Schizosaccharomyces pombe: one gene and its partners. The protein of the gene in region 3 purifies or fractionates together with the protein of the main gene of each other region. This does not show direct contact. Each region holds a gene or a part of one and is shown on either strand. Other genes may lie near its edges. The genes, in order: cts1, gln1 and hsp104.

The links.
Region 1: the proteins of hsp104 (region 3) and cts1 purify together in Schizosaccharomyces pombe (affinity purification with western blotting, with the first as the bait; one study listed by BioGRID). This does not show direct contact.
Region 2: the proteins of hsp104 (region 3) and gln1 purify together in Schizosaccharomyces pombe (affinity purification with western blotting, with the first as the bait; one study listed by BioGRID). This does not show direct contact.

The regions. Positions count from the first base shown.
Region 1 is NC_003424.3:1,208,787-1,218,779, forward strand, and holds cts1 (CTP synthase Cts1), read right to left. Parts: upstream 4,725-9,993; 5' UTR 4,683-4,724; coding exon 3,419-4,682; intron 3,199-3,418; coding exon 2,660-3,198; 3' UTR 2,409-2,659; downstream 1-2,408. Other genes in the region: ATP-dependent RNA helicase, spliceosomal Prp22, read right to left, coding at 1-1,572, 1,626-1,698; RCC domain-containing protein Ats1, read left to right, coding at 4,940-5,995; ubiquitin conjugating enzyme Ubc6, read right to left, coding at 6,335-6,852, 6,937-7,075, 7,116-7,142; RNA-binding protein Vip1, read left to right, coding at 8,385-9,158; protein mug94, read right to left, coding at 9,535-9,993.
Region 2 is NC_003424.3:1,593,627-1,603,524, forward strand, and holds gln1 (glutamate-ammonia ligase Gln1), read right to left. Parts: upstream 4,439-9,898; 5' UTR 3,946-4,438; coding exon 2,866-3,945; 3' UTR 2,447-2,865; downstream 1-2,446. Other genes in the region: RNA polymerase II nuclear import protein Iwr1, read right to left, coding at 1-154, 244-556, 646-714, 768-828; signal recognition particle receptor beta subunit Srp102, read left to right, coding at 1,569-1,736, 1,785-2,300; SPOM_SPAC23H4.05C (uncharacterized protein), read left to right, coding at 5,705-5,998; slm3 (tRNA (5-methylaminomethyl-2-thiouridylate)-methyltransferase), read right to left, coding at 7,882-8,967, 9,055-9,116, 9,161-9,260.
Region 3 is NC_003423.3:3,608,975-3,620,011, reverse strand, and holds hsp104 (heat shock protein Hsp104), read left to right. Parts: upstream 1-4,742; 5' UTR 4,743-4,935; coding exon 4,936-7,653; 3' UTR 7,654-7,747; downstream 7,748-11,037. Other genes in the region: rps1801 (40S ribosomal protein uS13), read left to right, coding at 1-174; pcn1 (DNA polymerase delta processivity factor), read right to left, coding at 2,434-3,135, 3,247-3,327; histone deacetylase, Sirtuin family, NAD-dependent Sir2, read left to right, coding at 8,456-8,639, 8,803-8,865, 8,907-8,989, 9,120-9,151, 9,237-9,673, 9,738-10,366; plasma membrane ZIP zinc transmembrane transporter Zrt1, read right to left, coding at 10,896-11,037. UniProt on the Schizosaccharomyces pombe protein: Required, in concert with Hsp40 and Hsp70 and small Hsps, for the dissociation, resolubilization and refolding of aggregates of damaged proteins after heat or other environmental stresses.

The DNA of each region.
Region 1 (9,993 bases), on a different chromosome or scaffold from region 3:
CAGCAAGATATTGAGTGATTTGAGTGGTCTTACCGGAACCGGTTTCACCGAGTAGAACCAAAATTTGGTTTTTTGAGACAGCCTCGAGAAACTGTTTACGAAGTTTAAAAACTGGAAGACCCTCTCTTTGCTCTTTCATGCTCAGTGTTGTTCTTTTACCGTAGGATATATTTGCATTTCGTGTTGCTTGACGCCAGCTGGGAGTTTCAGAAGTAAGTTGACGAGCAGCTGAGTCTCGCACATCTTGGGCAAATTTCCGATCCTGAGGATTCGACATAGTGTCTTGCCATGAGAGGGATAAGTCTTGCTTTTCCATTTCTTGTTCACTCTTTAATTTTGCCTCCTTTTGTCTTATTTCTCGTCTATCATTTGCTAAAATCTGCCCTTGCATTGCTGCTCTGGACAATGAACCATCCGGGGCCTTTACAACTTTTATAGGAGATAGCTTTAATGAAACTTTGGTTTGTCCTGCGAGAAATCCAGGTTCTTCTTCACGAAGTTCGATTTCTACGTCTTCATCATCTTCGGGATTAATTTCCGCAGCATTATTAGTATTGAATCCATCGTTGAGTTCAGGAATATCCGTAGCGGAAATTGCACCGGATGCAGCAAGTTGCTGTAACTCCCATATTTCAGGTGATGTTAAACGCTTCCGACCGTTTGAAGTGAACGTTTCAAGTGGATTCACATGTCCAATTTCAGAATTTTGGGCTGATAATGGAATAGCGTTTGCTCCACTACCCTTCTTTGTAGAACGTGAAACTTGATCCGGATTCAAATCCTCACCTGTAACTTGATTCACCTCCTTCATTGACAGGCTGATTCGCTTTGCTGATTCATCAATTCTAATAACTTTTACAAATACAGGTTGTCCATAGCTAACAGCCTCTGAAGGATGATCCAATCTCCCATTTAATTGGATATTTGAGATATGAACCAAACCATCAGTTCTCTTTCTAAAGCCGTCCAAAGTTACAAAGGCACCAAAGTCCTTAATACCTGAGACAACACCAGAATAAATTCCATACAATGTTGGAGCATTTAGCAATGGACCACGCGATGATCGACTAGAATGTGATTGACCAGAAATTGAGGTACGTGAATGATGCGAAAAACTGGGACTAATTGATCTCTCTCTACGTTCCCTTATTCCATTGAGGTAATGCCGCTCATCCCTCCTAGAATCCCTATCGTTTCTCCTTGTTTTGGCCAACGTCGAAAGTTCTTCCAGCTCGTCCATAGCATTATCCATAAGCGCTGGTCTATCCCTTAAATTATTCGTGCTATTTGGGATGCTTAAGCCAGGAAACATCTTTCTTTGGTGTTGTTTGTCAACATCTTTGCTATCTAAATCATGCGAAGCTCCATTGACCGAGTTACTACCATTATTTACATTATCAGTGGGAATGTCATCTTTAGGCTTAATTTCCTTAATTAATCGACTTATGTTTTGAAGGAAACTGTCGGTGAATTCTCCTCCACATGAAAGGACATTATTTTTAAACTCATCGTAATTCTTAGACTGATCATGCAAATTAATAATAAATTCTGCAAGAGTATTATCGTCAATTCCTAGATTTGGTTAATTATTTATAAAAAAATGAGTATTAAAGCCTACTACTTACCAGTATGATTTCGAATTTCAGAGGCAACTTTAGATACCAAGGATAAATACTCCAATTCTTTCAGATCGTCCATTATTGTCTTTTCTCCCACTAGGATTCACTAAAAATTAAATCGAAGTTTGAAGAAGACTTTCAAAATTGCTCCATACCAAACATAGGTGTATGGTTAAAAATGAAACGCGTGCAATAGACAATCGCGTTTCCTAACTTTGTACAAATAAATATTCATGGCTGTCAACGCAACGAGTTGCGCCAAAGGCAAATAAGGTAGCTGAATTACAGTTCGTTATAATAATGTCGAGGCTCTACTTATTATTTGAACTTTGAGTCCGTGTTGTTTACAATAGGAACTGGGGTGAGTTTCGTACCTTATTAAGAAATAATTTTTGCAACTTGAATGTTTAATTACTGTCAAAGTTTACGTAAGGTATTTCTAGAATGTTTTAATGGCTAAATCAATGACAGGGCGTAGCGAATATAAAAATATATAAGTCTATCTACAGTTTTCAACGATTGATACGTACTGAAGTGCTTTTTGCAAGTATGCTTGTACACTTGACATATTTATTACCTATGCAAATCAACGTAAATACTTTAATAGCGCTTTTCGAAAAGTATCGATCTATATTAATACAGTACTACGGCACCTCATATGCTAATAGATTTATGTCATTTGTACTGTATTTTAAACACAGTATTTGCATGCATTGTTACAGAGCCTCTGTGATTAACTCACACGTAATGAGCATTCAAAACGCATTACTCTAAATGTCTACAATATAATAACCGTAAAAATGGCTCAGAAGTTCTGAGAGTCATTTCATATCTCTAGATAGTCTCTATAACGTTAAGCTTAATTAGACTAACGGTTCAGTTGCAAAATTACTGGATACATCAAAAGAAAGCTTTTGAGCAGAACAACAATTGATAAATAGTGTCAACACCCCAGAACCCAATTTTTCCTATAGATAAAGAAAAACACACCAACAAACACACATTATTTCCTAATTCCCGGAATCCCATATAACCTACTTCTAACTGATGGTGACGACAGTGGCTTCTTCAGTAACTTCAACAGAGTCATTCATGTCAGCTAAGGCAGATTCAGCGTTAAAATGAGAAAAGTTGCTCCATTCGACTTCCTCACCAGACTGAATAAATTCATCCAACAAGCCAGCACTGGCCGCAACCAATCCAAAAATCGGTGGGGAGGGCTTAAGTGGCTTAGATAAATATTCAGGATGGTATTGTACGCCAACAAAGTAAGGATGGTCACGTTTCTCAATAATTTCCATACGCTCACCACGTTCATCTTTTCCGATGAAAGAAATTCCACCTTGTTCCAAACGGCTTACAAACGCAGGATTTATTTCATATCTATGACGATGTCTTTCCAAAACTTCATCAACCATCTTATGAAGTTTACGAAGTTTACTCCATTCGGAATTGGGTTGGAAAAAGGTAGGTCTCAATCCCAAACGCATAGTTCCACCCAGTTTATCCTTATCAATCTCAGGCATATAAACAACAACATTGTTTTCGCATTCCTTATCGAATTCTTCAGAAAATGCACCTAGAAATGTTAGTTAAAAATCTTTTGAAAGAAGCAAAATAAAAAATATGCTCCAATTAATAATAACTGTTTAACTATTCATGTAGCACTTGTCTACAGTTAGAGTCAACGGAAAATGACAAAAACCTCTAGTAAGTGCATGGAATCTATAGATCCCAAAAATAATAGAAGGCAGTTAAAAATTTAAAATGGAGTCCAATAAAAGCATCAAAAAACATACCTTCAATTCCACAAACACTTCTCGCGAATTCAATAACGGCAACTTGCATACCAAGGCAAATGCCCAAGTAGGGTGTATTATTTTCACGAGCCCACTTGGCTGCGGCAATCATCCCTTCGACACCGCGAGAGCCGAATCCGCCAGGCACTAGGATACCATTGGCAGAACAGACTAAATGCCATGCCTTATGGTAACTAAGTGGGTCACTAGTATTTGTACTAGCTTCCAAATGAGAAGCTTCTACCCATTGGAGGTCAAGTTTACGACCACAGCGCATAGCAGAGTGCTCCAATGCTTTGATGACTGATATATAGGAATCTTGAAGATGAGTGTATTTTCCTACGAGGACGATGGTGACCTTCTTGAAAAGATGATCGTATCCCTGTGTTAAATGTTTCCACGAGCTCCACATATTCTCGCCTGCGAGAGCGAGTTCGCGAGATACACTTATCTTATCCAGTGCGAAACGAATTTTCAAATATTCCAATAGCTTGTCTTCAAGCAGTTGAGGAACGTGATATGTACTAGAGACATCATGCACAGCTAGCACCTGTTCGGGACCAACATGACAGAAAAGAGAAATTTTATCAATCACAGATTTCTCAAGAGGTTGTTTACAGCGGCAAGCAATCAAGTCTGGAGTAATGCCCAAGCTACGCAAATCACGAATTGCTTGTTGAGTAGGCTTAGTTTTCTGCTCGCCATTAATTACAGGGACAAGAGAAACATGGATTGATACAAAGTTTTCATGACCCACACGAAATTGAAATTGACGCATGGCCTCCACAAAAGCAGCAGACTCGATATCGCCAACCGTACCACCGAGTTCAACAATACAAACATCTGGTTCTTCACCACTTTGATCAACTGGAATTCGAGCAACACGCTCCACCCAGTCTTGAATTTCATTCGTAACATGAGGAACAATTTGCACTGTTTTTCCAAGATAATCACCGCGACGTTCCTTCTGAATGACATTAGAATACACTTTTCCAGTTGTAATATTGTTATCATGGGTTAATGTAACATTAAGATAGCGCTCATAGTTTCCAAGATCCAAATCGACTTCACCGCCATCATTCAAAACAAAAACTTCCCCATGTTCAAGGGGAGACATAGTGCCAGCATCAATATTCATGTAAGGGTCAATCTTGATGCTAGTAACTTTCAATCCTAGGGTTTTTAGCAGTAATCCAGTGGAAGAGGCAATTACACCTTTTCCAATACCACTAATAACACCTCCAGATACTAAAACGTACTTCATATTGGCTGTCCCCTGATGTTTGCTCCAAAGTTGGTGGTACGTGGAGGAGAGAAAAATTAGGTTGCTAACAAATTTTTAAGCGCTGGCGAAAATTTTTTTAAGAGAAAATCGTTACCACAAATATAAATCGAAATGATAGGAATTTCCAAATAATGTATTTCACATTATTCTAAAAATTAAAAACTAATCGTACTGAAGATGAAATTTTACAAACCTCCATTGTGCCACCACTTTAGAAACCCACAACTAATATTTCTATGCTGCTATCTTTAGGTTCAAATGGTAACTTCCAACTTGGTTTGAACAATGATGAGGATGTTTACAGCCCACAGATAGTGCCATTTGACCGTGCAATTGAAAAAATCTCATGTGGTGGAAACCACACCCTATTGTTAGATGAGGATTCTCAACTATGGGCTTGTGGTGATAATCGCAAGGGACAATGTGGATATGAAGTGAAAGAACCTCTTTACAATCCCCTAAGTCCAGACTATTTACGGATATTCACCCGTGTTAGTCATGAGCGTTGGGTTTTCCTGACTTGTGGTTGGGAATTCAGCGTTATAGTACATGCTGATCGAAGACGTGTTTGTTCATGTGGTGAAGGACTTTCCGGTGAATTGGGTCAAGGGAATCGCAGTAATAGTCAAGGTTTGAGGGAAATTGACATTCCTTACCTTGACGATAAAGAGTTCATTATTGATATCTCGGCTGGATTAAGACACTGGATTTGTGTTACAAATGAAGGGAACTTGTATGGTTGTGGAGATGGCCGCAAAGGACAACTTGGACCGGTAGTTATGAAAACAGTTAACAAGGTTTCATTTCTCGGGCGTATTGAACATGCTCAAGCTGTTGTATGTGGTGTACAGTTCAGTGCAGTATTGCAAGAAACAGGACATGTAATTGTTTTAGGAGGGGAGAAGTGGAATGTAGCAGCAGAATGTGATGCTTGGCAAGCAAATAACAGTGAATTGTCTTCTTCCATCTGCTCTATATCAGCAAACTGGTCTACCTTGAGTCTATTAAGTACTGAAGGCTGTGTCTATGCTTTTGGTCGTTGTGATCGTGCTCAGAAGGCCCATACAAAAGCAAGTGATATCGTCCAAATCGCCAGTGGAACTGAGCACAATATTTTAAGGACAAAGAAAGGAAGTGTTTTAATATACGGTTGGAATGAGCATGGAAATGCCTCGAATGATGATAAAAGAGATGTTTATGATGCAAAAACTCTTCAATTACCAGGCTGGGCCTATATTGTGGCCGCTGGATATGCAACGAGTTGGATAGTGATTGAAGAAAATCACAAATAATGAATTGAGTAACTAAAATTTAATTTTATTTTCTACCGAAATGTCGAAGCTTTAATAACATTTGACGACATTTAAAAAAATGTAGTTTAGTAAGCTAAAAATCAAGCAATTGCTAAGAGACAATTGTCTATAAAAAGAAACTAGAACAAAGATTAACTTCCATTTAGTTTTAATTGAAGCGCGACATGTGATGCAGAGATGAAGGGGCAACAGGCAACGAAAGAAAAAAAATAAACATATAAGGACGGCAAAGCGCTATTTGGCATTAATCTCTTTATCGGAGGATCAAATGCAAAAACGCTTTCATAAGTTAATAAAATAAATACAAAGCATAACATCTTAAGAATCAGCTCCAAAAAAACGAGCTAAAGCAAGGGCAAAAAACACCAAAACTGCTATGCTCCAGCGACTTTTAACCCAGCTTTGCTTTGAATTAAACGGTTCATTCTTCTTGCATTCATTGGAAGATACAGGAGTGGAGTGAATTTGTTGGGGTTCGATTAGGGCCGCTTCAGCAGCTGCTTTGGCAATGTCTTCCCTATTTTTGTCAATTAACTCGGGGAACATTATTAAGAATTTAGGATTATCCATAATGTTAAATCTCTTCGTATCCTTTGCGTAAGTTCTCCTGGTAGACTCCGAAGTTACAATACCTCCAGTGGTAATCTCATCAGAAGTCATGAAAGAAACGAGTCCCACCAGAATAGTAGAAACCATCCATGAGGGATTCCAGGATTTTGGATGGAAGTCAGAAAAAGAAAGACAAAGTCTGGTATTCGTTTGGAAACGTCCGCTTGGAGTAATCATGCGAATTGCAGGTGGCTTAAAAGGATAATCGGGAGGAAAAATCAATGTCCCTGTACGCAAAGTTAGCAAAGGATGGCAACAGCCAAAAGTTCATGCACATATTGATTACAGAAGGAAATTTAAAAGAAACATACCATGATATTGTCCTCCTTCATATGGAGTGTCCGGAGGGCCAGTGATAATATAATGCCATTCCAAAATGTTTTCAGTTGCAGGTTTAGCGTCAACAAGCTCAACAGGGTTTTTCTGAAGAGCTAGATATTCTTTCATTAACTAAAATAATTAGAAGAAGCTTAAAATTATAAATCCATACCCGTTTATAAGCACCTTTCGACGCCATCGTTGTGTTTGTGAAGTTTGTGGAAGTGAGAAAACATGTAACCATATAATCCGCTCACAGTTACATTACCAGGTTAGCGGCTAGTTAGGTGATTCTTGTCTTTTACAAATTCAAAGCACAATCTCTACTAGACTAAGTGTCTTTGTAGGTTAATCAATATAAAACACCAACAAACTCCGAGGTGAGGTGCCAACTTCAAGTACAACGGTTTATTCAAATCACCAATTCGTAAATATAACACAGTTACTTGTAAAAGAGGTTTTCATTTCTATCTTTTGTAGCAATATACCTATGATATTTATGATATTTTATTTTCTCTATACGCAGCTTAAGCCCAAATGTAAAATATAAATATTGTTAACCTATGTACATTGAGGAAGTAAGATCGAGAAAATAGATTAAAAAATGCTTTGAAGCAAGGAAAGCCTTTAACTTATCTTTGTTTTACTTATTGTAGGTCTAACATTTATATTTCTCTTGCCTTCTCAATATACCTGATAATTTTGCTCATTATTCAATAAGAAACAATTTGGATGACTAACATGAGAAAAGGAACAAGCGAGGTAATCTATTCATATATTTCTTTCGCATTCTTTAGAAAGACCGTAAAGGCGATCCAGCAAATTCGGTTTTCTAGAAACATCAGTTTTCACTGTCCGGATATGCCGATATCGGGAAAATTAATGTCGGTCCTAAGTTTATGAATTTATCGAAACATAGTAGAAGCGGAAATTACTTCGTAATAGCAATTTAATGGATATTTTTTCCACAATTTATGCACTTTGCCATGCAACGAACAAAGCCAACTAGTATACCAAGTCAAGAAATCATGAGTACAGCAAAGTATCTAAGTGTTATCCTATTTAGTTTACAGTGACCAATAAAAATTGTATCGTGATATTCAGATAAAAAGATAATTGTCATCTATTTTCAGCTTCATTTTGATTTAGGCTCACTTATCGCGATAATTGCAATCTTTTGAAAACACACGTTCATTAATGTAATATCAGATTTAAAGTATGAAGTAGTGGCATTAACAAAGCAGCACAAAGTCAACTTTCCGTGATATAGGCTAAGGGCAAGTTAGAAATGTCAGGAAATTTTGCATTTTTGTGGTTTTTTCGTTGGGCTCAATCTAATCGTAATTGGGAGGATGTCGTCATCGATGATCACTACTTAAAAGCAGCCTCCATGGCACTCAACGTACTTTGAATCTCCATATTACCAGTTGAAACAAAAGTAATGAGCAACCAAGTTATTGTAACGAACATCTCTCCTGAAGTTACTGAGAAACAAATCTCAGACTTCTTTTCTTTCTGCGGTAAAGTGTCCAACATCTCTACCGAGAAATCTGGAGAAACCCAAACCGCGAAAATCCAATTTGAACGCCCTAGCGCCACCAAGACGGCCTTACTTTTGCAAGATGCTCTCCTTGGACAAAACAAAATCCAAATCACCAGTGAAGATGGTGGTGCTGCTTCTACTACCGATCAAGGAGGTGCTGGAGGCGATCAAGCCGCTCGTCAAGAAGACAAGCCTCGTTCAGCTATAATCTCTGAACTTTTAAGTCGCGGATATCATTTGAGCGATGTAACTTTGGAAAAGAGTATTCAACTAGACCAAAGCTATGGCGTTTCTTCAAAATTCAAGGGGATCCTCGAGTCTGCTTTGTCTGGCGTTCGTTCTGTTAACGAACGTTATCATGTCACCGAAAAGGCCAATGAGGTTGATAATAAATTTGCCATTTCTGACAAATTGAACCGCACCTCTTCTTTGGTTAGCACATATTTCCACAAAGCTCTTGAAACTGCTGCTGGCACTTCTGCCGGACAAAAGGTTCAAAATGCCTATGAAGATGGTAAAAACCAGTTGCTTGGCATCCACAACGAAGCTCGTAGGCTTGCTGATGCCAAAAACCAAGCTGAAGGTACGGCTTCCCCAGCTTCTAGCACTCCTACTGCCCCTGCTGAGAAGGAGCCTACTGCTCCCACCACTGAGTCAAAGACCACTGAGTAAATTATAGTACCTTGTTGTTATTCTTTTCAGATGGTTGTAATGATTCAGTGTATTATCGATTATTATTATAATTAATGCTTTCATTGAAGTTTTTATTGTTATTTATATAAGATACGCTGATATTTATCTCCCATTAATCGGAAAATTGCTGTCTATATTCCCTATGATGTTATCAATATTGAAGGAAAAAGGAGTATGTTTGTAGTTTGTAATTTGTTTTGGCTTAACGAGTACATACATTTTTATTTGGCATGTTTTGGAGTGAAACCTATGAAAGATAACGATAGTATTAAGATATATATAAGTAGTTTTCATCATCATTTATATTTGGATGCAATTCATGTATCCATCTTTTAGCAGAAATTTGTCGTAATCATCACGCTGATGCTAAAAACGTTGAGTTGCACAGAAAACAAGTATAGAAGAATCGCGGTCCCCGATTGCCTTGCAGAACAGGTGAAAAATCAATCCTTGGGAAATTTCGCCATTTTGCAAATAACTGATAAGTCAGCAGTTCGATACAGTGCTGCTCCATGCATAAGGGACAGCAAACGTAATTGCTTCTTTGACCAGGTAAACCATTATTTTGTACTAACGACATATACACCAATTTTGAATCGTGGTTGCATCTTTGAGATGGCAAACCGTTATTATGTGCTAACGAATTGTTTAGCAATTTAATCATTTGGTTGCTTTTACTGGTACTTTTTTGATTTGAAGATAGCAATAAACGTTCAAAGAGAGCCGCTATGACGGCTTCTTTATAATTGGGAATTATTTTATCCTCGTTTTCAAATATTCCTCCTAGAAGATTTGCTAAGACGTTGAGACATAA
Region 2 (9,898 bases), on a different chromosome or scaffold from region 3:
ATAAGCAAACGTTGGCTTGTTTGGTTCTTTGCTAGATGCTTCATAAATATCGTATACGTAGTCTTCCGTAGATTGCTGAAGAGGAAGGTCTCCATTTGACAAATATTCTTGAATCATAGAATCTAGCTGAGGATGCGGATGATACGTAGTATGTCTATGAATGTTAGTTAAGGTAAAAAAAGCCAAGAGCCAGTTCTTATAACAACAGAACTAAGTAATTGACTCTATTTGATGTTGACATACCCTTGTTCGACACGGATAGCGTCGAACACTCTATTACTTTGAGTAGAAGGTAAATTCTGAATTGTATAGCGTGGGGATGAGAAAGAAAGAATACCTTTTGTATTTTCACGGGATCCCAAGTCCATGTGCGTAGGTGCTTTCACAACGTCTTCAGAAGTTTGGACGACAGGGATTCCGTAATTGTTCTTTTTTAGAGATGATATTTTTGTATGACTGTGGATATTTCGAACGTCTTCATGAGTGGGTTCCGAAGATTCATCATTTATCTGAATATACCGATCATCTTGCTTCAGCGTTTGTGATAGTTTAAAATCTAGAAACTGTCAATAAAAGGTAATTGTGTTTTTCAAATGATTAGTCCTTGTGTAATATTCCAACACAAAAGCTCAAGAAGTAGCATACAATATCGTCCGGCGAATTTCCTTCTTTTCGTACTTGAAACAGAATTTGGATTGTTTCCAAGTTCCAAATCTAAATTATTAAGGAGTTAGATAAAGAAAGTTTACTTAGAAGCTTGGTCGTACATAGGGCGTTAACAGGATCTTCTGAAGCTTTACGCTTAACTCGAAGTACTGGAAGAGGCATCTTCGTATCACAATTTAATAACGAGAGTTAGACGACTCTTTAAAAAAGGAATTAATATAACCAGCAAAATCTACGGTTGGGGGATGGCAAGTCTGCAATGTAAAAAAGGTAGATATAAAAGTAGCTCTTCGACTGAAAGACAGCAACTTCAGTATAACTTGGATTGAAGTAGTATTACAACAACGCAATCTTATCTTTCAAAATGTAAAATATTCTATAGTTTTATTATTTTAAAATAAAAAATCGTGAAGTTCATTATTTATATCATTGTCATCACTTAACAAAAAGAACTTTTCTATAATAAATAATGTTGAGCAAACAATGAAGCAAAAATATTCAATAAGTCTAATTACACAAATTCACAACTTAAAGATGCCCCACAACAATTAATTCCACTCAAAAGAACCGATGATATAAATGTATACTTTGACGATTAACAAAGATTGGTCTAATCAAGCAATTATCTCATGTAATACATTCAGGAAAAATGTATTTTGTATTGTTTTAATTAAATTCAAAAGAGGGTACAGTCAATCTCTACTGCTGCAATCTGTACGAGAATTGTCTTTTTTAAACAAAACTTCGAGAACTAGTTTGGATGCTTTTTTTTTTTTTTTTTTTTTTCACATTTATTTCTCTCTTCTGAAAAATATATCTTAATCAACGATCGTATGAAAATGAGGTCTTTGTAACATTTGACATATATCTTCTACACACCCAACTGGTACCAACAACAGCATATGGATGGAACTTCTCAAGCTTTTAAAATTATTGTAGCTACAATAATTATAGGAGCTATTATATCTACCCTAGGAATTTTTTTTACTAGAAAGACAATTCAAAAGAAGTTACCAGCAGTGTTTTTAATTGGACCTAGCGATTCTGGAAAAACGTCTTTGTTTTGTGAGGTATAACAATAATATACAATCTTTGAATACTTATTAACTGTTATATAGCTAATTTATAAAGAAAAGAAAACTACAGTTCCTAGCATTGAACCTAATGAAGCTGTGTGGAAATATGGTGCTTGGTTAGTAGATCTTCCAGGGCATCCCAGGGCCAAACGTTGGATTACTACTAAATTCTCTGGAAATTATAATGTAAAAGCTGTAGTTTTCGTTCTCAACAGTGCTACAATTGACAGGGATGTGCACGAGGTTGGATTGATGTTGTTTGACACAATTTTAAAATGTCGCAAGCATCATGTCCCTCATCTATTAATTGCCTGTAATAAATTTGATCTTTTTACTGCTCAACCTGCGGAAAAAATTCAACAATTGTTAAAAGCTGAACTGCACAATATTTTGGAAGAGAAAAATCTTCAACTCGAATCTATAGTCTCTGAAGATGTCGATTGGGAATCAGTTGCAGATCAGATTGAAGATACTGATCTTAAATTCCTTCCTGGCAGCGTTGCAAAAATGTCGAACATTGAAGAATGGATTTCATGGATGGAATCAGCTTTACAATAAAGATGCATTAATTATTCACAATTGATAATTTACAAGTAACCAACCAAAAAAGATATATTTTTGCATGTCTAGAATAAGCTATCGTTTTATTTCAAAAATTCGTAATCTTGTGTGAATACTGTAAAATACTTAAAAAAATTAACAGGGTTGTTGACAAACTGATTCGTAAAGTACTTGTACTTAGGGACAGCTTGGGTAAAAAAAAACAAGAGAAACATTAATATTAGTATAAGAATATCAAGAAAAGAACAATCCAAGGTTGTATCAAAGCCTCACATACGCAATGAAAACACTCTTGATCATTATAAGAAGGTGAGCAACAAGCTCAGTTGATAAATGGTGATACTTTAAAAAAATGACTGCAACGAATGCATCATATGAAATATTCTAAAAAAAGATAAACATCACAAAAAAGTGAAGCTGATAAACAAAATTACTACACAACAAACTCATTAAGTCCTACAAACAAAAACGTGATATTATAAAAACTTAAACACATATTTCAAAATGGTTAATAACTGGGTGGTCGACGTGACCTGCACGTTAAATTATGAGGGAAAATTGTCTAATGCTCAAACATGGTCTCAGTGATGATACCAGTGACGAGGTAAGGATCGATGGAAGAAGCAGGACGACGATCCTCAAAGTAGCCGCAACCATTCATGGCGACAGAACGGGGGATACGAACGGATGCACCACGATCGGCAACACCATAAGTGAACTTATCGATTGAACCAGTTTCATGACGACCGGTAAGACGCAAGTCGTTGTCGTCACCATAAACAGCAATGTGCTCCTTATGGCGTTTGGCAAACTTCTCGAGATAAGACTCAATAGCTTTTATACCACCTTCAGCACGAGTGTCCTTAGTAGAAACGTTAGTGTGGCAACCAGCACCATTCCAGTCACCCAAAATTGGCTTGGGGTGGAAGGAGATTTTGACACCAAAATCTTCGGCAATGCGGTGAAGAAGGAAACGAGACATCCAGAGTTGGTCACCCATTTCAATACCAGCGCAAGGGCCGACTTGGTATTCCCATTGGGAAGGCATAACCTCAGCATTGATACCGGAAATGTTGATACCAGCGTAAAGACAAGCCTTGTAATGGGCCTCAACGATGTCACGAGCAAAGACGCGGCCAGTACCAACACCGCAGTAGAAAGGACCTTGAGGACCAGGGAAACCACCCTTAGGCCAGCCAAAGGGACGGTCATAGTAGTCCAACATGGTATATTCTTGTTCAATACCAAACCAAGTTTCTTTGTCAGCGTGCTTCTCCAACAACTTGGCGCAAGCGTCACGATGGTTGAAGCCGTTGGGAGAGCCATCAGCGGTGTAGCAAGCAGCGAGAACGAGAATGTTGTCACCGCGACGGAAGGGATCATTGTACATGGCAACAGGCTTCAAAAGAGTGTCAGAATTGTTGCCGGGGGCCTGACCGGTGGAAGAGCCGTCAAAGTTCCAAACGCGCAATTGGTCAATAGAGGAAGGCTTGGCATCGAGAGTCATGGTCTTGCTACGAAGATGGTTGAAACCATCGATCCAGATGTACTCAGCCATAACCTTACCATTTTGAGGAAGATCGGCATACTTGTTTAAAATAGCAGCCTTGGAGAGAAGAGGTTCAACGTCGTATTGAGACATATTGAAAGTAAAAGGGAAAAAAAAGGTAGAAAAACAAAAGATAAAAAAAAACGAAAGTCTAGAGAACGGAAATTTGAAAACTAGCAACAGAAGAAAACCCCGTTACAAAACAATAGATCGATTACTGTAAACCAGGATTAACAAAATTTGTCAACGATCGAAAAACCGAGATAAGGATATCGAACGAAGTATATTAATGAAGAATAAAAAAAAAGTAACTTTAAACCAAGGCAACAATTATACCGAGTTTAATCTAAATTACCGTGTAGAGAAGAAGAAAACCCCCCAAAAAAAATTTATATGTATAAAATAAAATATGTGTAGGAGCGTGAATTATATATGTTACTAGTAAAAGCAAATATATAACAGCGTTTTTTTCGTTTTACACAATCAAATCTTTCTTTACAAATCTAGAAGAAAGAAAGCCGAACAAACGAAACGAAACGAAACAAAAAAGGGTGGAAATTTTTTTTTGGCTTCGAAAATGTTATTTGGAGAAGAGTAAGGTGACTCGCGCCTTCACTTTATATACCACGACCGGTTAATTGCACCTCGTCCTCCAACACTCCGTTAACGAGGAAACCGGCGTAGATAAAGAGTTTGGGGTAAGGGTTGCAATAGATGGGCAGCATTTGATTGGGGGGTTCTTGTCCAGAATGCAAGATATCACAGATGATTGGAAGTATGGGCCAATCATGGAGCGAATGAATGATATGGAAGATAATTTATCTAGAATGATTGGCGGAAAAGGCGCCTAAAGATAGTGCCAGGGATCGCCTTTTTTCCATTTTTTTATCATGAATTAACCCGGAAAAGCTGGACACCGCAAGTCATCGTTGCTGCAATTACGGAGATTTTCGGAGCGCGTAAAGAGCGAGAGAGAGAGCAGGCTGGGTATGATGGGTGCTCATGTGTTCGCTTGCATGTATGAGCAAAGCAAAGGGAGAGTTGATACACACACACACACACACAGAAAGAGAGAGAGATATAGAGAACGAGGATATCAGTTTAAAGAAATGAAGCTTCATAACGAGTTGCCTTGAAGATATACATTGCTATTACTACGATTGCATGTTGTGTAATTAAAATTAACAAGGTGTCATTGTAAATAATCAGTTTATCTCAAATGTGTGATAGTCTAAATTTACTTTTGCTACTAAGTAGGTAATTAGGTTGGGTTGCTTTATCTCTAGGTAGGCAGTTCTTCGTTGGTATTCTAGATACCCCAACCAAGTGTGGACGTATGCGACGATGATAATAGTGGATAGGAAAGCTAGACGCTGACTATTCAGCGTGTTTTAATTTTAATTTTTTTTTTTTTAGATGAGGAGGGGCTTCTTATCAGGATTCAATGAAGCTATGTGTTGCCAGCTGTTGACTAGACTAACATTGAAGTAACAATACCAGGGCACGACAAGTTCCATCAAGGGCATGTCTTAACACAGTCAATATGAGTGAGGTTAGCAATAAGAACGAGGTTAACAAAAACTGTAGAATGAAAACAAAGAGTAGCGCAACAAAATAGAGAAGAGCGATAGGGTCGCTGAGATATTGTTAATGCATTCATATAGTCAAACGATGGATAGAAACGAAAAGATTGCTGATAAATCGCATGGATCTTTGCAAATTTATTTTACAAGCTAATTTCAGTTGCGCGCAAAAAAAAAGTAAATAAATAGATTTAAAGAAAAAAAAAACAGAAATATAATAAAAATAAAGTAAAAAAAAAAAAAAAAAAAAATAGAAAATAAAATGCTATATGCTTCTCCATGGACTGGGCCGCATGAATATCATATTCATCTGTTTTCCCTCTCTTGCTTGCCTCTTGACATCTCGGACTCCATTGTGCGCTCCCTTGTTTTCCCACTTGGATGGCATGACACCATGCCCCATCGATTGCGGTTTTGCCGTGGGGCGTTCCCGTGGAGGCGGCTTTGGGGGTAAACCTGAAAGCAATTCGTTACACTACGATACAATGCATAAGCAACATGCGATGCCCTTCTTTATAATAAACCCGACAGAATGGAAGCGAAATTTTTGCAACACCGGATAAACTAGAGCGCGCAAATCAAATAACATCAATTTCCAATGAAACATGTTAATCCAAAAATTTCCTTTTATTTTACCAGGGTGTCATAAACTACGACTACGACTATAAATACAACTATTTGGGCTAAACGACTCTGATTCAGGCGAAAATATTCGCACAAATTTCTTCCATTCAGTTGATACTTACGACAAGGCGAGGAAATGAAACCCACCAAGAATCGCTACTTCGGCGTCGTCGTTTGGTACTTTTTTCACTACCGTCCTCCATCAGTCTTTTTGTTCCATGAGAGCTCCACGGTAAGAACTTGGTAAAAGGATAGGATGGTTAAACAGGTTTGTTCAAGTACTTCTTCTCCTATGCGTTTTCCGGATGTTTACATTTCAAAAATTGATTAAAATTCTTAAACCACTTTGATTTCTTGCTCCATGATTGCTATGATTGCTGTCACGTAATGAAACAGTTTACTATTATACCTTTTTTACTGGTATTTACTATAAACGAATATTTTTTTGGGGGGTTAAGCTGACAAATTATCCAAACATCGTAAAATCAAAATCACCTTTAGTTCAAAATCGCACACTCCCCCACTTGGTTTAGCTTCACTCTGAGCTCCTTAGATCTCATCAACTAGCATGTACCAATATCAGTACTGTGTGGGGGCATAATCTACGGTATAACGAACTACAGATTAACTACATCAATGCGATATGTGGGATAGAGTAGCTTCAGTGGGGGCGGTCCTACCTTTTAATTTTAGCAGCTTCCACGCAAGCAAGCGAAAAAAAATTAAACATAACGATTTGTAGCACTAACTTCATTATAAGATAGTCTGATTCTGTTGTTATCTTTCACTATTCAATAAACAATAAACAATGGCCCCATAGTCGCAACCTTCAAAAAACACAAAAAAATCGAGAATTTCTTTAATAGACGATTAGAATTTGCCAAAAAAATTGGTAATGTATCTAAAAATTTTTTGGTGCATGCTCGTTTCTAGCAGTAACCACAGTAGTGCATGCTTTACTATTGACAAAGTAAACTCCTCTATACTATCACTTTACATTGGTATGTTTTAAACTATATCTTCTAGACCTATAAAATGAATGTTCTTTTTTCAAAAACAATAGAAATTTGAGTGCTTTTGCAAATTTAAATCAATTAGCTTTTATAGAATACGCTGTATGTATCTATCTATTTTATACATTTATTAAAGCTCTTAACAAAGTGCAACGTGGCACTTCATGTAGGAAACAAATTGATAACATGCTTGGTTTATTGTCCCATTCAAAAGGATCCTAGCTTTTTATTAGCTACTTTTATCAGATATCGTTATAGCAAAAAGTTTTTTTCCGAGTATAAAATTATTCAAGTGTACCAGATAAATTGCGGTTTGAATATAGTACCATTCTTAGTAAGAACAAACTACGACGATATGTGGGGTTAAGGAGTTTGGTTATGATTCGCACTGTAAACGTGATTTGCATTGTAATCGGTTTGTAATTTGAAGATAATCGAACTTATCAACCCCTTTTAAAATCGGATTTTCGAAAACCTCTACTTCTCAGAAAAACAAACTGCAGCACCAGTTTACCACCATAACATACTTCCTAATTCTCAATTACTGGAATGGGCGTACATATAAATGGTTAGAACTAACACTATTAACACCTTATTTGTCATTTTTTGGTAAATAGTGAAAAAGTGAAGGTATAAGCATAATCTGTTTGAAGCAAATCAAGTCCAACTGTAATAATTATTTTTCAGTAAATCACATACCAAAGATTCTTACTCACATTAATAAAAAAACTTCTTTTCATTTTATTTCTATCCTCTAGAATTTTTTTTTTTGAATAACTAGCTGGTCGTTTATTTTAATAAAACACTCATCAATCAAAATCTTTTTCAGGTTCTACAGTATCAACCATCCCTCCACCCAAGCAAACATCGTTTACATACACGGCAATGACTTGACCAGGAGTAACGGCTCGTTGTTTATCTTGAAAATGTATTTTAACACTTTCAGGGTTCCTCCAAGTCACCTTAGCTGGTTGTAATGGCTGTTGATGGCGTACCCTTACAAAACATGAAAGAGCACTTTTTTCAAGGTTTTGTAACTTAGTACCACACCACTTCCAATCTTTTAAATAAATGCATTTACTCATTAATAGTTCATTATTCGTTCCACGGCATATGTACAGTGCATTATTTTTAATATCCTTTTTCCATACATACCATCTCCCAAAGTATTCAGATTGAGCTTGTGGTAAACTCAGTCCACAGCGTTCACCAACAGTAAGGCTCCATATTCCATGATTTCCTGAAAACTCTCCAACGACATTTTTTCCTGCAATGACTTTTATCGGCCTATCAGAAAAATTCAAATATCTCTGAAGGAATTTTCTGAATTTTCTCCCTACATTTGGCGAAACAAAACAGAGTCCTTGACTTTCTTGCTTTTCAGCAATTTCTTTGAAGCCTGCAGAACTTGCTTGCTTTTTCACGTTCTCTTTCGTCCAATTATGTAGAGGAAAAATGGTTTTTTCTAAAGCTTCTTTGCGGATTGTGCATAAAAATAAAGTCTGATCTTTACGCTTGTCAGTCGGAATACACATGTGGGATTCGTTGGTCTCAATATTAACAACCGATTTTGCATAATGACCAGAAGCCAGCCACCAGTCACCCTTGACATTATTTTCACAATGTTTTTTCAATGCGTCGAACAACGCTCCAAATTTTACCTGTCGGTTACAAGATACATCTGGGTTGGGAGTTAATCCATTTTCATACAGATCTAGACTAGGCTCAAATACGAGATTCCAATACTCTTTTTCGAAATTAAACCGTCTACACGATATATTGAGCTTCTTACAAACCTTTTGGACTGTTGCCCAATCTCTTTCAGCAGGGCAACCAGAAGGCGCGGAGTCCTCATCTAACCAATTACGCATAAAAACACCTTCCACATTATATCCCTAAACCAAAGTTTAGTAATAAGTTTCAAAAATCTTTCACATCAAAGCATTTCTCTTTTAGAGTCAATTTAAAGAATTGCGAATTACCTGACTTTTTAGTAAATACGCCGAAAAACTAGAGTCCACGCCTCCCGACATAGCTACAAATACTTAAAAACATTATTAGACATTTTAGCTTAAAAAATAAACGAACCTTTATCCTGCGATTTGGGCCATTGTAAACGTGTAGAATGAGGTTGAAACGCCTTTGAGCATTCTATGATTTGCTTTTGTAGAAAAAGTGAAACCCTCATATATGATTTATCAGATTTTAACTACCCACATGTAACAATTTACCAAACCAAAAAAAACCTTTCTAGCGCAACATAGGGGGAAAAGTGTAGCTATGTTCGCTATGGGTGATGAATTTACGAGAACAGTCAGTATACTCCTAATAGTGCTACAACTCAAAATGCAAATTTCATGAATCCAGGATTATTCTTAAGTATCCGATAGATGTTTATAAATTTTTTAGAATCTTTGGCATTAATATACTATGAAATTAATGAGTTATAAAATCTTAACAACTACACGTTCACTTCTTAGTGACGTGACAACTTATAGACATTTATTTTCTATGAACCATAATATGTTCAATTTGAAAAAAATTTTAATAATCTGCCGCTCTTTTTCTACTAAGTAAAAAGTAATTTTAAGGATTTACAAAAACTATGCTCCAGCAGTGACTTGAACACTGGGCCTCTTGCTTACTAGGCAAGCGCTCTACCACTGAGCTACAAGAGCTTGTGGTTGTCCGTTTGTCTTTGTAATATATAACTGAACAATTGAGAATTTATTTTAAATTTATTAGTAAATGAATACGTATCAGTTAAAAGTTACTAAAGAAATTTGAAAGTTATATGATTAATTAACTCCGTTAGCTATTGAATTT
Region 3 (11,037 bases):
TTCCAATTACTTGCCAACAATGTTGACAGTAAGCTTCGTGAGGATCTTGAGCGCCTTAAGAAGATCCAAACCCACCGTGGTCTTCGTCACGCTCTCGACCTTCGTGTTCGTGGTCAACACACTAAGACTACTGGACGTCGCGGTAAGACCGTTGGTGTCTCTAAGAAGAAGTAAAATAAGTAAAATGATTAGCCTAATATTACTTGGATAATAAATTTCCATTATTCTTGCAAATTATAGTTTTCTGATTCTTTAAAACATCTTGCTTTATTTTGTATATTGAAAAAAATTAGGTGGATTTGTGATTTCTCATCAAATATTACACTACAATTTATTCTGATATAGAAATATATAAAAAACAGTAAATATTATTCAACATATTCAACCAACATGATTGATACTGACGCATCGACCTAAGAACCTTTATTATAACCCTACCTGAAACCACAGAAAATTAGACTTCTAATATAATTATTTGAAACGAGATAAATCCAAACTTTTAACTTCGCGCTTCAATACTCGTTGTTTTTTACTTTGTGGCACTGGTGCTTTTACATTTTCTTGAACGTAAAATTCGCGCATTAACATCACAGCTTCAGAGTAAAATAACCCTGGATAAACTGGATAGCTCGGATCAATAGATTGGCTGTCATAAATCGTAAGCAAAAACGAACTGATAAATTCACATACTCCTTGTTAATGGAAAATACGCTTCCACATCCGCCAAACCTATCGTTGCCGCATCCAAAATACACGGCTTTTATGTGAAGCTGTTTTAATGCAGCAGCACACATTAGACACGGTTCAACAGTCACGTATAAAGTGGTTTCTTTGAAAACAGATGCTGGGTAGTGTTCTAAAATTTTTTCTATAGCGATAAGTTCAGCATGTCGAATCCCCTTTATCATCGTCAGCAAAGGCATATTAAAATAAGGCTTACCGAGAGGCTGCAGTTAGTTTCATTAAAACCACGGCCTATTACTTCTCCTTTATATACAAAGACGCAACTACCGGGACTTCTCGGTTGGATAACGAAGTACGGGCCTAAATTTAGGACTTTTAGTTGTTAATATGTAGGAAATTGAGCTTACCATTTCATGCGCCAACTTCATATATGTTTCATGCTGAGTATCATATTTCACCGTATTTGATGAACTTGTTTTGTTCATTTCCGCGAGGATATCTTGAAGATGTTGGCTTACAAAAAGTAGGGCTGTGTCAATGTTTTCTTTTTGAGGGAGTATAATATCAGCGTTCTCTCGAGTCTTCCAATAATTAGTATACAACAGCAAATAAGAGTTTAACATACTGGATGAATCGAAGAGTCGTATGCAGGTTTAGACAAAGTTACAAACTAAAAGAAATTAGAATAAACCTAGAAGAAAAACCCTTACATCGTTCAAAACTTTGGTTAAGTCTCCTTTTTCTGCTTTGACCCTCTGTAAAACGCAGCGTTCCAAACGAGTATCTGCATCTTCATATACAAAAATTTTAGACGTATAGTAGGGCAGCAATTCGGGAAGAAGAAGATAGTAACCTTCGATTAGAATAATTCTATTCTGGTCTACAGGTAGCTTTATACAAGAACCATCTGGCAAACATATTTTCTCGGCTCCTTGAGAAATCAAAGAAAGAACTTTTTTAAACGCTTCAATATCGTAAGAGGAAAGTGCATACCTGTCGACAGAATTGGGATAAAGAAATGAAGTAAGATGGATCAATTTAGAAAAAGTTGAAGGTGCTGATGACTTTAAACGTTCAAGTAATTGCTCACAGAGTTGTGTCTAGTATTAAAGTATTAGAATTAAGAAAAAAATATTTTAATAAAATACCTTTCCAGAAAAAGGACCCCCAGCAATCCCAATGATTGCACTTTTCACACTATCTCCTGCCATAGTATATTCAACGCTAAAAATTTCAAATATAGCCAAATAGTAAAATATATAAATTATTACGAAAAGTTGGCAGTATAGAGAGTAAGGAATTCTATCTTCTTTAAGTAACTTTTACGCCTTGCTGCTACTGGTGGTAGCGTTGGTAGTATTTGGGCGAACTGTCCCTCCGAGGCTCTTACGCGGTTAGCCATATAAGTATACAATTATCAGTTAGAATAAATTCTCAGAATTAAGCTAATTTACATATCAATGTATTATATCATGTACTAGACTTAAATCAACAAGCTACAGCAGATGATTACGAAGTTATCTGTGAAAAATCATCACTAAGAACACAAGTTTTTCTACCCTTCAGTTTGTTGGTTCTAAAGAATTTGATTTTTTTTAAGTAAAAGCTGGTATTTTGCCTGTTTGGATATGAATGTTAGGGAAGGAGCAGTACAAAAAAGGTTGAATTAAAAAGTAAACAAAAGTATGTTTATAATGATGCTAGCTCGTCAATTGCAAAGAGATTACTAAAAGATATTGATTCCGTAATCTACTCCTCATCCTCCTCACCAATTTTTGGGGCAAGATAAAATCGTAAAAATCCGGATTCCATTTTATACTCCACAAGAAGTGGAACATCATTGCTCATTGAAAGTGTGACTCGGGTAGCTAAAGGAGTAGCCTTAGTGAACTGGGCTAAATATTTCAAAGAAAACGTAAGTGTTACAGCTTGGGTAAGAGAAATTTCGATACTTTGATCTTGGTCAGAAAGATCGGTATGTTGTTTCAGCGTGGTACTACCATTACCAATATCTCCCTTGCAGCTAAAACGAACACCCTCTTTACTAGCATTGATTGTTACTGAATCACTCAAAGTTAATAAATCTCGAGTAATGCGTTGAAATTCGGCAGCAGGCATAGTAATAGTAGCATCGTATTCGATATCTGGTATACCCAAGTGTTCTTGATCAATGTCCATTAATTTAACATCATAATCAGAGATCCTGTCATTTTTCTCGCTCTCGAAAACCAAATTCAATACCTCAGGTGTATCTTCAGCCTTTAAAGTAACCAAATCCTCGTTTTGGGCACACCGTAAGACCTTTGATAAGGCGTTCAGATTTATACCTAAAGCAATATTTCTATCACACCGATATGGTTCAAATCCATCTGATTTAATAAGCATAGAAACAAGGGCTACATGAGAACTATCCATAGCCTGCAGAGAGATACCGTTGTCATTGCAATCAAACTGTTATGAGGTTAGAGAATCATTCAAAAGAAGTTAATAAATATATTTTTTTTAAAAAAAAGAAAGGCTTTGTCGTTGAGCATCTTTATTTATATGCTGCCCCTTACATACATTAGCATCTGTAACTAACTCCTTGATGGCATCGAGAAGCTTTTTCAACAAAGCAGCCTGCTGAAATCTAGCTTCAAGCATAGTCGTAATTATATTTTATACAAGCTAGATAAGAGATATAAAGAATAGCTAACAAAGGTTACTGCAAAAACCTTTTGTAGTTGGCTTTTGGGAAGTAGTCAAAGAGCGCGTAGCACAGAATAGTGTGCGTAAAATTGCTAGCTGACAACGTAAAAAATCTCAAGAACCTTTCATATATGAGACCAAAATAGCAGTTCACGTTATTATAATTTGTTTTGTTATTTTTTTTATTTTTACAATAGCAAGTAATTTCGTCCGTACTTTTTAGATGCGTTTGATATGAAATATTATACAAAATTATGGAAAACTAACTGAAAAAATAGTATTTGCATGTTACTATGAAATTTTTATCTTTCGTTTGCTGTACTAATTCACGGTTCTATTTATGTCTTTTTAAAGAAGCAATATTCAGTTATCGAAATTTTCTAGCTATACGGATTATAATAAGCCAAATGTAATCAGCGAGTCATTACAATTTACGGCGTAAACTAGGAGAGCTTTCGCGTTCTACCTTAATATACTTTCCAGGATCAAATAAAATTTAGGCTACACTAATGTATCAAGTAAATTGTACATTTTCCATATTAGCTGCTACCGAAATTTATTAACTTATTTTCACGTTGCAATGACATATAAAATGATTGAAAAAAACGTTATTTTAATTGGTATTAACACGGAAAACTTAAAACGAATTTTATTGCTGGTTTAAATAAGACTAAAGAGGTATGAAAATAAGAATGAAGTATACTTGTTCGCTAAGGAAAAAATATGTATTCACAACAAATTCATTCGTTTTTTTTTCTTCTCAATATTCGTAGATTACAGTTACGTTAACAAGAATTCACTGTTGGTTTGTTTAGTTTATAAACCACTATGGTCAAGTAACTAAAGTTCGTTAAATGTCATTACGACGAATAATCGCTACCGTATAGAATAAGTAATGTAAGAGCTCTATCTTAGAAATAGCTTGGAAATATGACTAGAATCTCTGTAATAGAAGAACTATGTATCAAAAAATTATTTATTCAGTCATTGATGAATTCTAACGGTATTTAGCAAGATGCAATTGAGAATAAGTTGAGGTTAGTATCCGTCTTTACGTTGTTCCATACACTACGTAATACGCAGATCATTTCCGGGTTTCGAGTATTCCATGTTTAAAGACAATTCAAAGACTTTTAAGGTAACTGCATTTTTAATTTACACCGGTTTTTTTTTAAGCTATTTTTCTCTTATTTTTTTAAATCTTCTAGTCATGTCTTTGGGATTTACCCTACTTTATCCCTTTCTTTTTCTAGAGTGTAGGAGTAGGTTCGAGTAACAATGTAACTGGCATCTTCTGGTATGTTCCTTTCCTTCCCATAGTAACATCATCGTGTATATATATGCACAGCTTCTCTACCTGCGGCATCCTCAACCATCAATCTATAACCGAAGAATTTATTATAATAACGATATTAAGTTCTTATTAAATCGAACTGAAAACCGTATATATTTACCGTTCAACGACTCTCTCTTTTTTGTTTTATAACGAGCGACAAATATACAATTCCTTTTTTTTGGATTTATCTATAAATTATAAAAATTCCTATAATAATATAACTCGATATGGCTGATTATCCTTTTACTGACAAAGCCGCAAAGACATTGTCTGATGCGTACTCAATTGCACAATCTTATGGTCATTCACAATTAACCCCTATTCACATTGCTGCTGCTCTTTTGTCCGACAGTGACAGTAACGGTACTACCTTACTGCGCACCATCGTCGACAAAGCTGGTGGTGATGGTCAAAAGTTTGAGCGAAGTGTTACTAGTCGGTTAGTTCGCTTGCCTGCTCAGGATCCACCTCCAGAACAAGTGACTCTGTCACCTGAAAGTGCGAAACTGCTGCGAAATGCTCATGAACTTCAAAAAACACAAAAAGATTCTTACATTGCTCAAGATCATTTTATCGCTGTGTTCACTAAAGACGACACGCTAAAGAGTTTATTGGCAGAAGCCGGTGTCACCCCGAAAGCGTTTGAATTTGCTGTAAATAACGTCCGTGGTAATAAAAGAATCGATTCAAAGAATGCCGAGGAAGGATTTGATGCACTAAATAAATTTACTGTTGATCTTACAGAGCTCGCTAGAAATGGTCAACTGGATCCAGTTATCGGACGTGAAGATGAAATTCGTCGTACAATTCGCGTACTTTCTAGAAGAACGAAAAATAATCCAGTTCTTATTGGTGAGCCTGGTGTAGGTAAGACCTCCATTGCTGAAGGACTTGCTCGTCGTATAATTGACGATGATGTCCCCGCTAATCTTTCGAATTGTAAGCTTCTCAGCCTGGACGTCGGAAGCTTAGTTGCCGGCTCCAAATTTCGTGGTGAATTTGAAGAGCGTATCAAATCTGTTTTAAAAGAAGTTGAAGAAAGTGAAACTCCCATTATTTTATTCGTAGATGAAATGCATCTTTTAATGGGCGCAGGTTCCGGTGGTGAAGGTGGCATGGACGCTGCCAATTTGCTGAAGCCAATGCTTGCACGTGGTAAGCTTCACTGTATTGGTGCTACTACTTTGGCTGAATACAAGAAATACATCGAAAAAGATGCTGCTTTCGAACGTAGATTCCAAATCATCTTGGTAAAAGAGCCTTCTATTGAAGATACGATTTCTATCCTTCGTGGTCTTAAAGAAAAGTATGAGGTTCATCATGGTGTTACTATCTCTGACCGTGCCTTGGTTACTGCTGCCCATCTCGCTTCCCGGTACCTAACTTCTCGTCGTCTTCCAGATTCTGCCATCGACTTGGTCGATGAAGCTGCGGCTGCAGTTCGTGTTACTCGTGAATCTCAGCCCGAAGTTCTTGATAACCTTGAGAGAAAGCTTCGACAACTCCGCGTTGAAATTCGTGCTTTAGAGCGTGAGAAGGACGAAGCTTCCAAAGAACGTCTCAAGGCTGCTCGTAAAGAGGCTGAACAAGTGGAAGAAGAAACAAGACCTATTCGTGAGAAGTATGAATTAGAAAAGTCTCGTGGAAGTGAACTTCAAGATGCTAAGCGTCGTCTTGATGAGTTGAAGGCTAAGGCTGAGGATGCCGAGCGTCGTAATGATTTCACTCTTGCTGCTGATTTGAAATACTATGGTATTCCTGATTTGCAAAAACGTATTGAATATTTAGAGCAACAAAAAAGAAAGGCTGATGCAGAAGCGATTGCAAACGCTCAACCAGGCTCAGAACCTTTACTTATTGACGTAGTTGGGCCCGATCAAATCAACGAAATCGTTGCAAGGTGGACTGGTATTCCGGTTACTCGTTTGAAGACAACTGAAAAGGAACGACTCCTTAACATGGAGAAGGTTCTCAGTAAACAAGTAATTGGTCAAAATGAAGCAGTTACTGCAGTTGCAAACGCCATTCGCTTATCTCGTGCTGGTCTTTCTGATCCTAATCAACCAATCGCATCTTTCTTGTTTTGCGGTCCTTCCGGTACTGGTAAGACTTTATTGACAAAGGCATTGGCATCATTTATGTTTGATGATGAAAATGCAATGATTCGTATTGACATGTCTGAATACATGGAAAAACACTCTGTTTCACGTCTCATTGGAGCACCACCCGGTTATGTTGGACATGAAGCTGGTGGACAGCTTACTGAACAACTTCGTCGACGACCTTACTCCGTCATCTTGTTTGACGAGATTGAAAAGGCTGCTCCAGAAGTATTGACTGTACTTTTGCAGGTACTAGATGATGGACGTATCACTAGTGGCCAAGGCCAGGTTGTTGATGCCAAGAATGCTGTTATCATTATGACTTCTAACTTGGGCGCTGAATACTTGACAACAGACAATGAGTCTGATGATGGAAAGATAGATAGTACCACTCGGGAAATGGTTATGAACTCGATTCGTGGCTTCTTCCGTCCCGAATTTTTGAATCGTATCTCTTCAATCGTTATCTTTAATCGTCTGCGTCGTGTGGATATCCGCAATATTGTCGAAAATCGTATATTAGAGGTTCAGAAACGGCTTCAATCCAATCATCGCTCAATTAAAATCGAGGTTAGCGACGAAGCTAAAGACCTTCTTGGAAGCGCTGGTTATTCCCCTGCTTATGGTGCAAGACCTTTGAACCGTGTCATTCAAAATCAAGTTTTGAATCCCATGGCTGTCTTAATTTTGAATGGCCAGCTTCGCGATAAGGAGACTGCTCATGTCGTAGTCCAAAATGGCAAGATATTTGTCAAACCAAATCATGAAGCTAATGCAAACGGCTCTGCTGATATTGACATGGATGGTATTGACGACGATGTTAATGATGAAGAATTGGAATAAATGTATTTCAAATGAGAAAGTTCTAACGATACTTTATGATATAGTTTAATGATATGCTTAATCTTAATATATTTTATTTATTTATAAAAATATAGTATATAAACTTTTTAGGAAGTACTGTTTTCTCATTAAAATGTTCAATGAACTTTATCGAATAGATAGAATCAATTTAACAAAAGCTAAGTACATCGTTTTTAGTTATTAGCAATTCAAGTATGATGAAACATTGAATCTTAAATTTATCAAATAATCCATTGTTATTTACGAAAAACCTCCATTTATTTTAGTAGGTATTAATTAATGCAGTCCATTCAAGAAAGTCGAGCTTGTAAGAAAGTGCTCGTAATTCCTTATAAAATCAAAGCAGAATTAGCTCTCATACTTTTAGTAGATTTTAAATTGAATTTACATGATTAACTTTAACATTTGGTAAATCACTATCATATCATTTCATTACTTTCTACACTTGCGCATTGCATACTAATACGCATTCCAGTTCTCATGGTTCAAAGCAACGTTTAAATTAACAAGTTGTATAGTTAAACTTATACAGTGCTTTGCTTCTAATAGCCATTATTACCAGGAAATAACGAGATCACAGTTGCCCGCATACCATTAAGCTAACGAAACTTTACTGCACTAAACAAGAGACTAGCTTTTCGTAATTGTAATAAGACTTATCGAAAAGTTGAACCAGAGATCTTCAGTTCAGTAGATCATTGCCTTTCTCAAACGAAGCTTTAATTTATACTTCCTTAAAAATAATTGATTAGTCATATTTTCATGTTATACAAACTCTGTCATGGCTTCCAATCCGCTAGATAATAATATGCCGACGACTCCCGTTGAGGAAAAAATTCCAGTCGCTAGTTATTCTCCTAGCTCTTCTGGTAGTAGTTCCGGTGCTAGTTTACTAGTAGATATTATGTGCGGCAGTAAAGAAACTGAGGATGAAGAGGTTGATTCTGATGAATGGGATAAACCAGGTATGAATATCAACTATTAACTCCAATACCTTCAAGGGTACGCGCAAGTCTATTTGAATTTACAAAATTTACAATTGATCAACGATTTTGAGTTCAGGTTAGCTATGTGCTTTTCATATACTTTAGTTTATTTTAATTATTTAAAAAGTTAACGATTCCTTAGAAACAGAAAACATAAGTGATTTGGATGAACGATCCGAAATGGTCAGATATTTAAGGGCTTCAGGTAAGGAGTTACTTAATTTACATTTTAACTAGTATTTGTAGGCTATGCGAAATTCTTGGAGAAATATTTAATAGAAGAAGAGTTGCCTGTACGATCGATTTTAAAAAAACTTGGAATCAATTTGGTATGCTTACTGATTTATAACTTGCATTACATTAAATTAGCAGATTATTTTTGTTAAATTGCAATAATAATTTGGTCTACTGCATGTTTTGTTTTCTTATGACTTTACCTAGATTTATTAACGTAAATAGCCTAGTGCACTTGAAGAGTTTGAAGACATAGAGTATGCTTTTCTTTAACTTCCTTCTTATCTTTTTATCTTTTATTTTTTAAAATATCTGCTATCGATATACTAACGTGCTAATTAGTTTACTTCCTTTGCTGAAGGAAGTTTTAAAACGTGAGGTTGCTAGGAGAATCAAACTTCCACATTTTAATACCTTTGAAGATGTTGTTAATTTATTGAAAAAAGCTAAAAATGTTGTCGTCCTTGTTGGGGCAGGCATAAGTACAAGTTTGGGAATTTTAGATTTCCGTTCAGACAATGGTTTTTATGCCCGTTTGGCACGCCATGGATTATCGGAACCTTCTGAAATGTTTGATATCCATACGTTTAGAGAAAATCCAGAAATTTTTTATACTTTTGCTAGAGATCTTTTGCCGGAGACGAATCATTATTCCCCCTCGCATGCCTTCATTAGATTGCTTGAAAAGAAGAATAAATTATCAACATTGTTTACCCAAAATATAGACAATTTGGAAAAAAAGACTGGACTCTCCGATAACAAAATTATTCAATGTCATGGTAAGTATTTATTTTCCGATTTGCATCTCGAGCACTGGTGATTTTGTCTAATTTGATTATATAGGGTCTTTTGCTACCGCAACTTGTATCAAATGCAAGCACAAGGTGGATGGATCGGAGTTATATGAAGACATAAGAAATCAAAGAGTTTCTTACTGCAATGAATGCGGAAAACCACCCTTAAAATTAAGAAGAGTCGGTCAAAATAAAAAAGAGAAACATTATTTTTCAGATGGTGATAGTGAATCTTCTGAAGATGATCTAGCTCAACCTGGGATTATGAAACCTGATATCACATTTTTTGGGGAAGCCTTACCGGATTCTTTCTTTAACAAAGTCGGGAGTGGTGAGCTTGAAGAGACTGATTTATTAATTTGTATTGGAACTTCTTTAAAAGTGGCTCCTGTTTCAGAACTCATCAGTGTTATTCCTCCTACTACTCCTCAGATTTACATTTCGAGGACTCCTGTTCGTCATACCCAATTCGATGTAAATTTTCTAAGTCCTTATTGTGATTGGGTTATTGTGGAGATTTGTAAACGTGCTGGATGGCTGAATGAATTACAAGCGCTTTGCGATTTACCTGAGTGTCATAGTGGTTCCAAAACGCGAGCTTTCGAAACGGATTTGGATATAAAATTTGAGGAGCCCAGCACCTATCATATCACGAGCACAACAAACGGTAGTTGTTAATTTTAGGACTGATCGATCTATCGAAGTTGAATGTAGAAGCAAATATATTATATACATATATCGAGTATGAGAGCCAGATTATTGGACATTAACTTATTATCCGTTTGAGACTTCTTAGTTTTGTAAGTGCCATTGTTAAAAACTGTTTTTTCTCTTCGCACCTAATGTTTAAATCTGCTAAACTGGGTGAAAACACATTAAAACAAGTTATAATACATTTTACAATACCAAGGACTGTGTAATTAGTAAATGAACATTGAAGCAAATTACATTCATAGGCTATGCAAAATTAGCTACTTTTTTAAGCATAGTAAATCAGTGAAAATGACACAATTATTATTTAAAATTGAAAGATTGATTGGTACATATCAATACAACCAATGAAGCATCTAATTGTACGATACTAAAGAGAAACAACTGAAAACGGACAATTAGAAATTGGTCAACGATATTGACACTCAAACTCAAAAGAAGAAAACAGATTTAATGAAGAATATAAAATGCACGGATCATCGAAAAAGCCACCAAATCAAGCCCATTTACCTAACAAAGCCATAACTCCAGTACCAGCCATCGAGCATGCCAAAAGGTAAATAAGCTTATACCAGTTACGTTCTCTTTCAGGACTAAATAAGAAATCGTGTGCAAGTAATTCCACTAAACCAGCATAA